Cricetulus griseus: one gene and its partners. The protein of the gene in region 3 interacts with the protein of the main gene of each other region in a pairwise test. Links are inferred from orthologs where the notes say so. Each region holds a gene or a part of one and is shown on either strand. Other genes may lie near its edges.

Region 1 (3,762 bases), on a different chromosome or scaffold from region 3:
ATTACAATTTATTAGAATATAATAAAGAAATAGACTTAATTGTGGCATTTTCAAACATGTATACCATTACACTTTTTTAAATTCATGTGCATGTGTACAGCCACAAAAAGGTCAGATCCCATGGTTGTGAATTTGCCTAACCTGAGTTCTTTGGAACCAAATCTGAGTTCTTAAGTGCTGAGTCCAGCCCCATAATGCTTTGTTCTATTCACCCCACTCCTCCCTAGCTTCCTCTGTCCCCTTATGCAAAACTTTCAAATTTAAGTTGGACACAGCAGCCCAACAGGAGGAAGAGAGTCCCATGAGCAGGCAAAGGTTTTACTTGCATCACTGTGTGTCCTGGAACGTGATTTGTAGTCCAAGATGTCCCAGACTTATGGTGATTCTCCTGACTCAGCCCCCTGAGTGCATGGACCAACATGCCAAGCTAACTTGGGGTTTTTGGCTTCATAATGTTACCAAAGTATAACCACTACTTTTTACTCTCAAAACAGTATTCAAAAACATGAAATATTTAAGACTTTATTATAAAATATACTTTGTGCTACATAATTTTTCTGAATTTTAAGATAGGCTAGACTAAACATGTTTCACGGATTAATGCATTTTTGACTTACGGTATTTTAAAACATTTGGCAAATTGAAAGAAATCAGACTCTATGGCTCCTTAAAATTCTGACTGTGTATATGTGTGCCACATCCATGCCTAGTGCTACGGATGGTTGTAAGCACCATGTGGTATACTGTGAACTGAACTCCTGGTTCTCTGGAAAAACAGCCCTGCTCAGCCATCTCTCCAGTACTGTGTTTTTTTTGTTGTTGTTTTATATATGTTTTGTCTGCACATATGTGCACCACATGTGTGCATGGTTTTGCCTGTGGAGGTCAGAAGACAGGTCAGATTCCTTAGAACGGGATTTGGGGATGGTTGTGAGCAACCCTCCCTCCCCCCAACACATACACAAATATACAAACAACAGAGACAAAAATGAAGAAAGCAGTCTAAAGGGCAGAGGGAGACAGTACCCTCCTAGAGTGGGCCCGCACCCAAGGGTGAGCTGCGACCTGGGCCAGGGGCAGCCGATCTGAGGGTTTATGCTTGAGCAGCTTGGAGATGAGGTCCTGGGCCCCCTCAGGTACAGAAGGAGGGAACTTCAGGTCCACCTGCAGAGGAAGAAAAGAGAAAGGTTTCACCTGTGTTACCCTGACTACATTTTCCTTGACAACTCAAGAGATTTTTGCAACCCCCAAAGGAGGCATTATTAACAATGGATGGCTGCTGAGGGAAAGAAAGGAAGTCATTTTCCTTTGGGAGTGTGGGTACAGGTAGGTTGCTGGCAGCACTAGCTGGTCTCAGGGGGCTATAAAAAGAAAAAGGACATGACGGTGGGTGGGGCATGTGTTGGGAAAGGAGTCGGGGTGGGTGATCAAGGTGCATTTGTATGAAGTTGTCAGAGAATAAGTACTGCTCATGAAATAGGGAGACTGTGCAGAGCCCTATAAATCTACCCTGCCCACCCCAGACCCTGGCTTCCACAGCACACAGAGCCCAGGCAGGTATCCTACCTTGACAATCCGACGGTATGTCTCACTGTGGCTAGGGCTCTCAAAGGGTGGGTTCCCCACCATCAGTTCATAGCAGAGCACCCCGATGCACCACAGGTCTACCATTTCGTTATGCATGCGCCCCTCAATCATCTCTGGGGGCAGATAGTCCAGGGTGCCACACATGGTCTTCCTCCTGATGGGATGAGAAGTGGGTAGGGCCTCGAAAAAATCAGCCTCTCTTTTCTCTTTACTTGATAGTAGGCAGCTCAGAGATCCCAGGAAGGTCTGGCCACACTAATGGATTATCTTAATTTTTTGTTTTTTTGAGACAGAGTTTCTTTGTGTATAGCTTTGGAGACTGTCCTGGAGACTGTCCTGGAACTAACTCTGTAGATCAGGCTGGCCTCAAACTCAGAGATCTGCCTGCCTCTGCCTCCCAAGTGCTGGGACTAAAGGTGTGCATCACCACCGCCCAGCTATCTTAATCTCAATAAGTAAAAAATAAATAAAAACAATCAGAGATGAGGGCAATGCTCATTTCAAAGAAGAAACAGAAAACATCTCTAATATCCACCGAATATACACTACTTAAATAAGTCGGTTTATATTTTTACTGTGCAATACCAAGAAGTGTTAAACAATGATCAGGTCACCAGATACTGTGATATACACCTCTAATCCCAATCCTTGGCAAGATTTTTGTTTTGTTAATATTGATACAGGTTCTCTCTATAATACAGCCTTGGCTGGCCTGGAACTCACTAAGTAGACCAGACTGGACTTAACCTCAGAGAGATCCACCTTCCATTGCCTCACTAGGGCTGGACTGAAAGGAATAAGCCACTACCTCTGGCTTAATTGGACATTTGAGGTAAATTGTCAGTCTGAGGCCAGGTAGGCCTACAGGGTAAAATCTTGTCTAAAAACTGTAAAGAGAGCCGGGCGTTGGTGGTGCATGCCTTTAATCCCAGCACTTGGGAGGCAGAGGCAGGCGGATCTCTGTGAGTTCGAGGCCAGCGTGGTCTCCAGCTTGAGTGCCAGGATAGGCTCCAAAGCTACACAGAGAAACCCTGTCTCAAAAAACCAAAAAAAAAAAAGCCCAAACAAACAAACAAACAAAACTGTGAAGAGGAGGTCTGGAGAGATTTGTCGGTGGTTAAGAGCACTGATTGCAGGACCAAGGTTCAATTCCCAGCACCCACATGGCAGCTTACAATTATCTGTAACTCCAAGATCTGACACCCTCACACAGACATGCATGCAGACAAAACACCAATGCACATAAATTATTAAAAAGAAGAGGCCAAGCAATAGTAAGCACACCTTTAATCCCAGCACTCAGGAAGAAGCAGAGGCGGGTGGATCTCTTTGAGTTTGAGGCCGCCAGCCTGGTCTACAAAGTGAGTTCCAGTATAGCCAGGGCTACTCAGAGAAACGCTGTCTCAAAAAAAACCAAACAGTTAAAAAACTGGGAAGCGGTTCTGAGGGATGTGGCTCAGTGAAAGAGCATTTTCCTAACATAGGCAATGCCCTGGGTTCCATCCTCAACACTAAAACCAAACCAAATCAAATAAAATGTGACCTTGGTAACCAGGCATGTCAGCGTATGCCTGTGATACCAGATACTCATTTGCACCTGGGCCTTTAAAAACAGCCCGGGGAACTCGGTGAGGCCGTATCTCCTTAGAATGAACAGGGTCGGCAGGGGTAAACTTGACATGGTGATGCTTGCCTGTAACTCAGCTATGTTTGGAGGGTGATCAGAAATTTAAGGTTATCTTTGGCTATATAGTGAGTTTGAAGTCATTCTGTGCTACATAGGACCCTGTTTCAATCAATCAATCAATCAATCAATCAATCAATCAATCAATCATGTGGGAGTTTCCACAATGATATGGTAAGAGAGGGCCCACTATATTTCATAGAAAGAGTAGAAAATTTAGAGCATGAATTATTGTGTTACCTATTTTTGTAAAGACTTTGCTACATCTATATTGCATGGAGACAAACCCCATCTCAAGGAACAACTTGCAGAAGAGCTGTATATCACAGCCTCACACGAGGGACAGCCCCCGAGCCCCACCATACCTCAGGGAGGGAGCATGCACAGACCAGCCAAAGTCCGCAATCTTCAGTTCGCCCTGGAGACCTAACAGCAGGTTCTCAGGTTTTATGTCCCTGTGAATCACCTTCTTCTTGTGGCAGTACATCAGT
Region 2 (4,307 bases), on a different chromosome or scaffold from region 3:
TAGAAATGCTTGAAACAGATGAGTTATAGCTCCAGCATGTGTGTCGTGTAAGTGTGGAGTGGTTCAGAGAGTTTTCACATACATTTCATTTTATTTTAACATCTGTCCCACTAAGAACCCAGCACATGCCTTACAGCATTTTCTTACAGATAAGAAATGTTAAAGTCCGTTGAAAGTCACACAGCTAGGTAATGTGTGCCAGAGCCCACAGTGAATTCCTCCTTTAGTTCTACTTCCTTGTTTTTCTGCTCCCACTTTACTGCTTCTTTGTGTTTTCTTTTACCCAGATGTTAAATTGTAGGTTCCAACCCCTCCACGATGCTGTACTCAATTCCCCATGTACTTGAGCAATATGATTTTTTTTCACAGCCAGAAAATGTGAGCACCACACTGACACTCCATGTACTTTTTCTTTCCTGATTTAATGAATTGAGAGGGAAAAATTACGTATTCCCGGAGAGTTGTACAGTGCTTTAAATATAAAGTTATATCCCAGTTGGCAAACACACTGTCGCACCCTTTCACAAGACTGAGAAGTCAACCGTCTCATCTATCCATTCTAAGCAGAGGCTCGGGAAGCACAGAGAGCTAGACAATGGTCTCTTGTTTGGTTTTATTAATTTTGAGGGCGGGTGCGATCAAAGTATCGGACTGGCGACTGAAAGGACCAATCGTAGGTCAATAGCAGGCATAACTGGCCAATGAATAGATGCAAAAGAATGTTGGGTGGAACCTATTCAAGGCCCGCTCTGCCAAGGCAAGCACTCCCAGCCTTTCCAAGAGGCGGAGCTTCCTCCAAGCCCCGCCCATCCCCTGGTGCCCTAGTGGCCTGCCTCTAGGAAGAGGCAAGGACCCTGGTCGAGATTTGGGGCAGGAGGCAGGGGAAGGTGTAAGAAGGTTGAGGCTGGGGGTGGGGTGGTTGGGGGTGGGGATAGGGTGGTGGAAGAGAGGGATCTTGCTGACTTTGCACTGAGTAGGCTGCCAGTTGGTCAAAGGAAACAAGGTCCGCGGGGGGTTTGAAGGAGAGGGGCTCCTTCCTGAATTTTGTGAAGCTGGTTTTGGCTGATGCTGCTTTTTCTACATTGCTACATTTTTTTCTTCCTCCCGGGATGAGGCGGAAGCTGTGCTGACTTCTCCCACGCTACTCTGCTGCGCTGTTGCCGTAGATTATTAAAGTCTTTGAAAATAAAAACACCCCCCCCCAAAAAAAAACATTCGTGCCTCTCTTTTTCTCGCTTTAATTCCTGCAAAGCACTATCGGAACTACCGTCCAGCGCGTGGGAGGAGGAGGGCCAGCGAGTTATCCCAGCTCTCTCCTTGATTCCCAAGCTTAGCCGATCAATTGTTTAAAAGTTCCCCGCCCAAAGTCCGCCTCTCCTCCTGGGGCGCCGCCTCCTCCCCTTTGCCCGCCAGGGTCCTGCTGGCCTCCCTCCCGCCTCCCGCCCTGCTGGCCCCGCCCTCGGCCCTGCCCATTCCATCTTCCACCCCCCTCCTTCTGGGCGGTCCTAGCTGCTCACCGCCAGAAGAAAAGGCACCCGTTCCTCCCCCTCTTCTACCTCCCATCCTTCGCTCAGGAGCTGCCTTCATCGCAGTCACGCCCCTTCCTTCCGAGGAGCTTTCGGGCTGCGTTCGCTGGTAGACCCCTGAGTTACTCCTCCATCTCCGTTCTCTTTCCTCTCTTCTCTTAGTTCTCATCGCCTTCCCCCACCACCACCACCTCCAGCCGATCTCGCCTCCCACTATCCGCTGCTCCACCCTCCGGCCCGGTATCCTGCCTGCCTGTCCACTGCCACCAAGGAGAGACCCAAGGGAGCAGCGAGGTGGGGAGTAGCCGGGACCTGCGGCTTCCTCCCTACCCATCCCTGGCCTCTGGCCCGGGACCGAAGCCACTTGAGCCAGCGGAGAGAGTCGTCACCTTGTCTTCATTGCCTTCGGGGGTAGGAGAAACGTCGTTACTTTTTGCGGGGAACTGGGGCAATAGTCTGTGGTGTTGAGAACTTGATCATGCCCTTATTTGTGAGTAGGTTGTTATATGTGCCTGTGGGGATTGCCTGTATGTTCTACATTCTTTGCTGTTGGCCTTGGGTTTTTTAAGATATGCAAGAAGTTTCAAACAGTTTAAAAGTATGGACTCCTCTCCTACTTTCAAGGAGGAGATGCTGAAAGGTACCACTCCTGGTGTTCCTTTATTTCCTCCCTGAGTTCTTGCAGGTCCCCCACTGAATTTATCACTTAAGGAACTAAAGACCTTAACTAAGTTAGGGACTTTTAGGTCTGTCTAGCTTTAGTCCTGCCTGAAGGTTTGCCCTTATCTCAGATAGCGAGACGGCTTTCATCTAAGTGCTTAGGCTTGGGTTGGGAGCTCACCCTCCCTGACCCCAGGGCCATGAATTCTTCAAGTTTTAAAATGTGGAAGTAATGCACCACACAGCTACTAGATTTATGCACGCATGTATAGCTGTGTGTGATGGTGGTGGAGGTGAGGTTCAGGAGGCAGAGACTGCCGTTATTTGCTTCATAAGAGCCGAAGATCTTAATAAGTAGTTTTGCAAGATCACGCAAGTGTTTGTTTTAGGGTCCGAGCCTTGGCTTCTTTAGTTCATCAACAGCAAGACTATCCTCATAGATAGGTGAAAATGAGGAGAAGGGAAAGAAAGAGGGAAAACGGCAGCTTTTATAGACTGCGAGCGATCCCTGATGATTGCCGCTAATAAATAATGTGCTAATAATTTGCAGCAACAGATTGAATAGAAATTAATGAAAGGTGAACGGGACAGATTTGAGAAAGCCCTTTCTGTTATTATCTCTTGCCTCCATGAAGAGTAGATGTCAGACAGTTTAAAACTATGAATATAAACTTTTCCTCCTACGTAGAAAGAATTAAACACGTAATCTTTAGTGGTGAAGGGCTAAGGCTGTGAAGTCTTGGGTTTGACCATGGGAAACGTTCTTCTTCAGGCCAGCTTTTGTGAAGCCTCCTCAGACCTTTCAGTACCCTCATTCAGTAGCTAAGAATAGTCAGAAATGCCATTTTGGACAGGGGGTAAATTGTCCACCTATCACCTACCTCTCTTAGGTTGGGCAAGTGCCACAAGCTTATGAGACTGGTTGTGTTGAAAGACTTGATACTGAGATCTTCCCAATCTATTGCTTATTCTTTAGGGGAGAAATCACTCACATATATTAAACGAATTTTCTTTAGTTGATTTTAACTGGGGTGAGGGTGGGGGCTGAAAAGTTAAGAAGGTAGAGAAGGGATGTTACAAAGTTACATGGTGACAATTTTAAAGGCTATCATGTTTCAGATCAGCTGGGAGGGAAAGGCTGGCCTAGGACATTTTAATAGCCAGGTGGTTGTAGAGTAGTTACATCTATTTACAGATGATAACTCAGGTTCCAACTATTCTGTATGGGTTTGCCTGGTGTCATTTACAGGCAATTTCTGGCTCTACATCATACTTCATTTTAAGTTACTTCTTTCTTTGGAAAAGTTTGTGTCTCTGTAAAATTGAAAGTTTTTTTTTCTTCTAATTCACAGCCTAGGTGCAAAGTTAACCCGTAACTCCACCTGTATGTACAGTAAGTTTTACATGGACTTCCTAAATGCCTTTACTGGAGGAAAAATAGTTTAGAAAGAGATTTTAGCAATTCACATTTGACATTGAGATTTGGACCTTAAAGTGTAATTATTTTTTCATCGATAAAGTAAGATTTATTAGACTAATGAATAACGGAGGCATTTTCTAAGGTTGATTTTCCTCCATCCTATATTTGTATAGAATGAAGCAGACTCTGGAATGCTAATAGGAAGACAGAGGGATGGATACTTTGACTTTGACGTCCCATTGAGAGCCAGCATTCTAAGTGGGTACATCTGCTTCTGGGCCTCTCCTAAGAGCTCTCTCCCAGGGCCTGTGCCTTCTTTAAAAGGGTGTCTTTGTAATTAAGCAGCCCTTCCCCCCAACTCCCTCCTTCTTTTGATCCAGTTTTTTAGGCTTATTTTCCATTTGGAGACGAAGAGTTTCTCACACCCTCCTGCTCCCCTCTTAACATTTCTTTTCCTTTATCCCAGAAAAGCCCAGCCCAACACCAAGTTCTCAGGATGGTTTTCAGTCTGTTGTGTTTGGGACGGAGGGAGGGTTCCCAGTGAGGAGGAGTAGAGGATATATTCCCTCTTGGGAAATGCTTGTGGCCAGGTAGCCTCCTCCATGGAGACTGAGCTTTTGGAATGCATGAGAACGGTCTATTCTTCAGGACTGTCTGGTAGAAATTGTCCTTTGCACCCATTAAGCCCAGCTTAAACCCAC
Region 3 (4,144 bases):
ATAAACTTATAGTCAATATGTCTGTCTCAATATTTCTCTTTTCTTCTTTTTAAACAAAAGAATAACACCAATCATCAGGAGGAGGCCGAAACTTGATGCAAACAGCAAGAGGCTTTAATAAAAGGTGGACGTTTGTACAAACGGGCTCTCTCAGCATGCAGGCTAGAGAGCAGCCCCGTCCCCCAGGCACAGGCGTTTTTAAAGGCAAAAACCATAAGCTTAGGGAGGGGCCTCGACTCTCTGTCCGTTGAATATGTGACCAGAGTCATGGGTTCCTAGGAAGCCCTTTGTCTTGAGGGGAGGCCTGGGAATCAGATAGCTTCCTGACCCACCAGTTGTAAAACCTGCAGACCTCAGGATGTGCTAACTAATGGTAGCTATCTCTTTGTTTCATAGGGACCCTTAATTGTTAATGATTGACACATTGGCCAGTGGGGCAATCCGTTTCCTTCATGAGCCCCTCGGGGAGGTTGGCCATCTGGGAATTCTTGGTACCCAGTTATCTTATGGCCTTGTAAGGGAGTAATTGCTGGTGGCTGGTAAATTCCAGGCACTAAGTCATAGTAGTAGCCTTGGTCAGTTTCTGGGCTATATTTCTTTCCTAACTTTTAAGTTTTTCAGCTGTCTTGTCTGGAACTCACACAGATCCACCTGCTAGAATGCATGCTGGGAAGATTTTATTTTAATTATATGTAGCTTGTTATATAGTACCTCAGCTTTGGAGTCAAAGCCAAACAAACATTTGCTTTTAACTCTCTTTTTATTCCCTTTCCCTAGTTATGATGATGAAGTTGATAAAGTAAACCAGTATCAACCGCTAAGCCTAGAAGACCTGGAAAAGATAGAAATAGGTAAACGCAAACACATTAACTAACTCACACAAAAGGATACACCAAGCCACCTGTGGTGATGGACTTCCCTTTTCTTCTTCAGGCTAGTGATGTGTATGGCTGCTTTCATATTGTGCCTTGTGAAGGTAACACCAGTGCAAAAAGCCTAAGCAGTTACTACTGAAGAAGTGTTCTCATGGCCTCATTAAGTCACATTTGTGACAGAACAGAGGGCAGAACAGGGGTGCCTTGTTAGGGCTGGAAGACATGTACAAGCATGAAATCTAATAATGAAACCCATGATCAATACATGCTATAAAAACTTTTTTTTTTTTTTTTAAATGAGGGCTGAGGTTGAGAGCACTGGCTGCTCTTCCAGAGGACCTGATTTCTATTCCCAGACACCACATGAGATCTGGCGCCCTCTTCTGGCCTGCAGGCACATATACATATGTCTATATCTCTTCACACACATATCTATATCTATATACATGGAGATAAGAAAAAAGATGCATTGGGACTGTAGGGGTAGCTCAATCAATGAGAGCATGCGCTGCTCTTACGGAGAACCTCAATTCACTTCCCATTATCTATGCCAGGCAGTTCACAACCACCTCTGACCCCCGGGTCCAGGCCGGTGACTCTGGCCTCCTCTCATATGCAACTATCCCCGATGCCCAAATAATTAAAAGTAAAATCTTTGAATTGAAAGAGAATGTAGCGTCTCTTTGAGCCGCGCAGCTTCCTGAACTGCCCCTCCAGCCCCTGCCTTCCCCACCCCGCTAGTCTTGATACATTCAACTTCCTGCCCCACCAGAGGAAGTGGGGAGCAACACCAGGTGCAGAGACGACCAGCAGAGCCATGGTGAGTTCTTGGGCCCAGGAATCTAGGCAACTGGGGCCCAGTCCTCTCCCCTGAGGGTCCCCAAATCAAAGTCAACCCATAGTAAGCTGACTTCCTAGCTTTGGGGCTCAGGTGGTACCGGGCACTCCTTGCCATGTCCAGGAGCCTCTTGCTATCTACATTTACACCCACAGGACAAAGAGTATGTGGGTTTTGCTGCCCTCCCCAATCAGCTGCACCGCAAGTCTGTCAAGAAGGGATTTGACTTCACACTCATGGTGGCAGGTCCGTGTGTTTTGGAGAGAGACTGGGGTGGGGGGTAGTGATGTACTCCGGGGATCCTGGCTGCCCTCTCATCTGACTAGTAGGCCTGACCCGTTCTCAGGGGAGTCAGGCCTCGGGAAATCCACCCTCATCAACAGCTTGTTCCTCACCAACCTCTACGAAGATCGGCAGGTGCCAGATGCCAGTGGTAAGATCTGCCCCCACCTTCACCCCTGCGGACTCCCCACCCTTGCTGCTGGTCTGTCTTCTCTCTTCCTGTGTGATGAGGCTACATACTTTCTTTCTGTCTGGGGACTTGGATGGTCACTGGTTTTCTCTGAGACTGTTTCCTCCCGTGAAATACACACTGAGGATGTGGGGTGGGGGTGGGGGTGGGGGATGAGATGCAGCTGCGTCGCTAGGAATGGGGTCCCCCTCAGAGCCTTCGCAGCAGCTTCTCTGTATCCACAGCGCGCACCACACAAACTCTGACCATTGAGCGCCGGGCTGTGGAGATCGAGGAGGGGGGAATCAAGGTGAAGCTGACCTTGGTGGACACCCCTGGCTTTGGGGACTCTGTGGACTGCTCAGACTGGTGAGGCGGGGGACAGATAAGAGCTAGGCTTCTCTTCCACTATGGAAGACCAGGGTTCATTTGTGAGCTAGTTTGCCATGGCTCCTTGACCTAAAGCCACCTGTTTCTAGAAGCAAACAATTTGGCCCAAAGGGTCCAGTGTTTCTTCCTCTGAGAAAAGGGTTCTCTCTGTAGCTCAGGGGCCTCAAATTCACCATGTAGCCCTAACTGGCTTCAAACTGGAAGTTCTTCTAGGATTGCAGACATATGCCATGACTGGTTCAGTGCTCCACTCCAACCCCCAGCTTTTGCAGATGGTGTCACATTAGCCCAGGCTGGCCTGGAACTCATTGTGTAGGCCATGCTGGCCCCAAATGTGGCAATCCTCCTGCCTCAGCTTCCTGAGTGCTGGGCTTATAGTGTGGAGCCACTTTGCTTCTGGAAGTCTAATCCCAAGCCCTTACCAGTTGCCCCTGATGGCTTTGGTTGGAATTAAAGAAATTACTTTCCACCCAACAGGCCTGGCTAGCTTCATTCTGTCCCCTGCCCTGTGATCTTAGACTATACATCTTCTCCCCACATGCCAGCTGGCTGCCTGTGGTCCGATTCATTGAGGAACAATTTGAGCAATACCTCAGGGATGAGAGTGGCCTCAACAGGAAGAACATCCAGGACTCCAGAGTCCACTGCTGCCTCTACTTCATCTCACCGTTTGGCAGAGGGTCTGGAGGGCACCCTGGGGGGGGGGCAAGTGACCGGGGTGGGGGAGTATAAACCTCTGCACTCAGGAGCTGAGCCTGATAAATCCCTGCTGCAGGCTTCGGCCCCTGGATGTGGCTTTCCTCCGGGCAGTACATGAAAAGGTCAACATTATCCCAGTCATCGCCAAAGCAGATGCCCTGATGCCTAGGGAGACTCAGGTCCTCAAGCAGAAGGTATGGGTGAGACCTGACCTTTAGCACTAAGTGAAAACAAAAGCTGTGACTTTTTTTTATCTTGGGGTGGCCTTTTCAGAGCAGGAGCTATTAGGCTAGACTAGGGGAGGGGAGTATAGGGGTGTATGAGCCTGTCACAAGCAGCCATGTCTCTAACAGCTCTGTACAGAATAAACTATACAACCTTGGAACTAGATGCTTGGCTAGGGACAGTCTGAGGAAAAAAGGGGTGGCCATCACAACTCCTGGCAACTTCTTGGTCCTGTGATAGTGATAACTCCCTGCCCGCTGTCTTTAAGAGTGCTTTCTCCTGTTCCACCTCCGGATATTTTGATGTCTGTCCTGACTTTCTGAATTCCTCCCCATTATGTCTCAGATGATTTGGTTTTGGTCATCTTGTGTGGCCACCTCTCACCATCTGTTGTTCACACCTTTCTTCCTCTCTGACTACCCAGTATCTCTCTGTCCCTCACTATCTCTGCCCTTGCCATGTCGGTTCGTCACACCTCAGTTTCTCCCTCTCTCCGCCCTGAGATCCGGGACCAGTTGAAGGAGGAGGAGATCAACATATACCAGTTCCCAGAATGTGACTCTGATGAGGATGAAGAATTCAAGAAGCAGAATGAAGAGATGAAGGTTTGAGAGGTGGACGTGGAAGGGGCAGGGAAGCACAGAGCGGAAGCGGAGGTGAATGCTT

The links.
Region 1: the proteins of Septin1 (region 3) and Aurkb interact in binary tests that used the Homo sapiens proteins (3 or more experiments, as listed by UniProt). The link is inferred for Cricetulus griseus from reciprocal best matches to the Homo sapiens genes SEPTIN1 and AURKB.
Region 2: the proteins of Septin1 (region 3) and Amot interact in binary tests that used the Homo sapiens proteins (3 or more experiments, as listed by UniProt). The two-hybrid records come from large-scale screens. The link is inferred for Cricetulus griseus from reciprocal best matches to the Homo sapiens genes SEPTIN1 and AMOT.

The regions. Positions count from the first base shown.
Region 1 is NC_048600.1:82,925,182-82,928,943, reverse strand, and holds the end of Aurkb (aurora kinase B), read right to left. Parts: coding exon 3,637-3,762; intron 1,742-3,636; coding exon 1,567-1,741; intron 1,165-1,566; coding exon 1,003-1,164; 3' UTR 507-1,002; downstream 1-506. UniProt on the Homo sapiens protein: Serine/threonine-protein kinase component of the chromosomal passenger complex (CPC), a complex that acts as a key regulator of mitosis.
Region 2 is NC_048604.1:35,432,136-35,436,442, forward strand, and holds the start of Amot (angiomotin), read left to right. Parts: upstream 1-1,503; 5' UTR 1,504-1,937; intron 1,938-4,307.
Region 3 is NC_048596.1:73,555,297-73,559,440, forward strand, and holds the start of Septin1 (septin-1), read left to right. Parts: upstream 1-1,339; 5' UTR 1,340-1,692; coding exon 1,693-1,695; intron 1,696-1,868; coding exon 1,869-1,959; intron 1,960-2,059; coding exon 2,060-2,146; intron 2,147-2,409; coding exon 2,410-2,533; intron 2,534-3,099; coding exon 3,100-3,234; intron 3,235-3,329; coding exon 3,330-3,447; intron 3,448-3,981; coding exon 3,982-4,083; intron 4,084-4,144. Other genes in the region: phosphatidylinositide phosphatase SAC2-like, read left to right, coding at 778-874. UniProt on the Homo sapiens protein: Filament-forming cytoskeletal GTPase. May play a role in cytokinesis.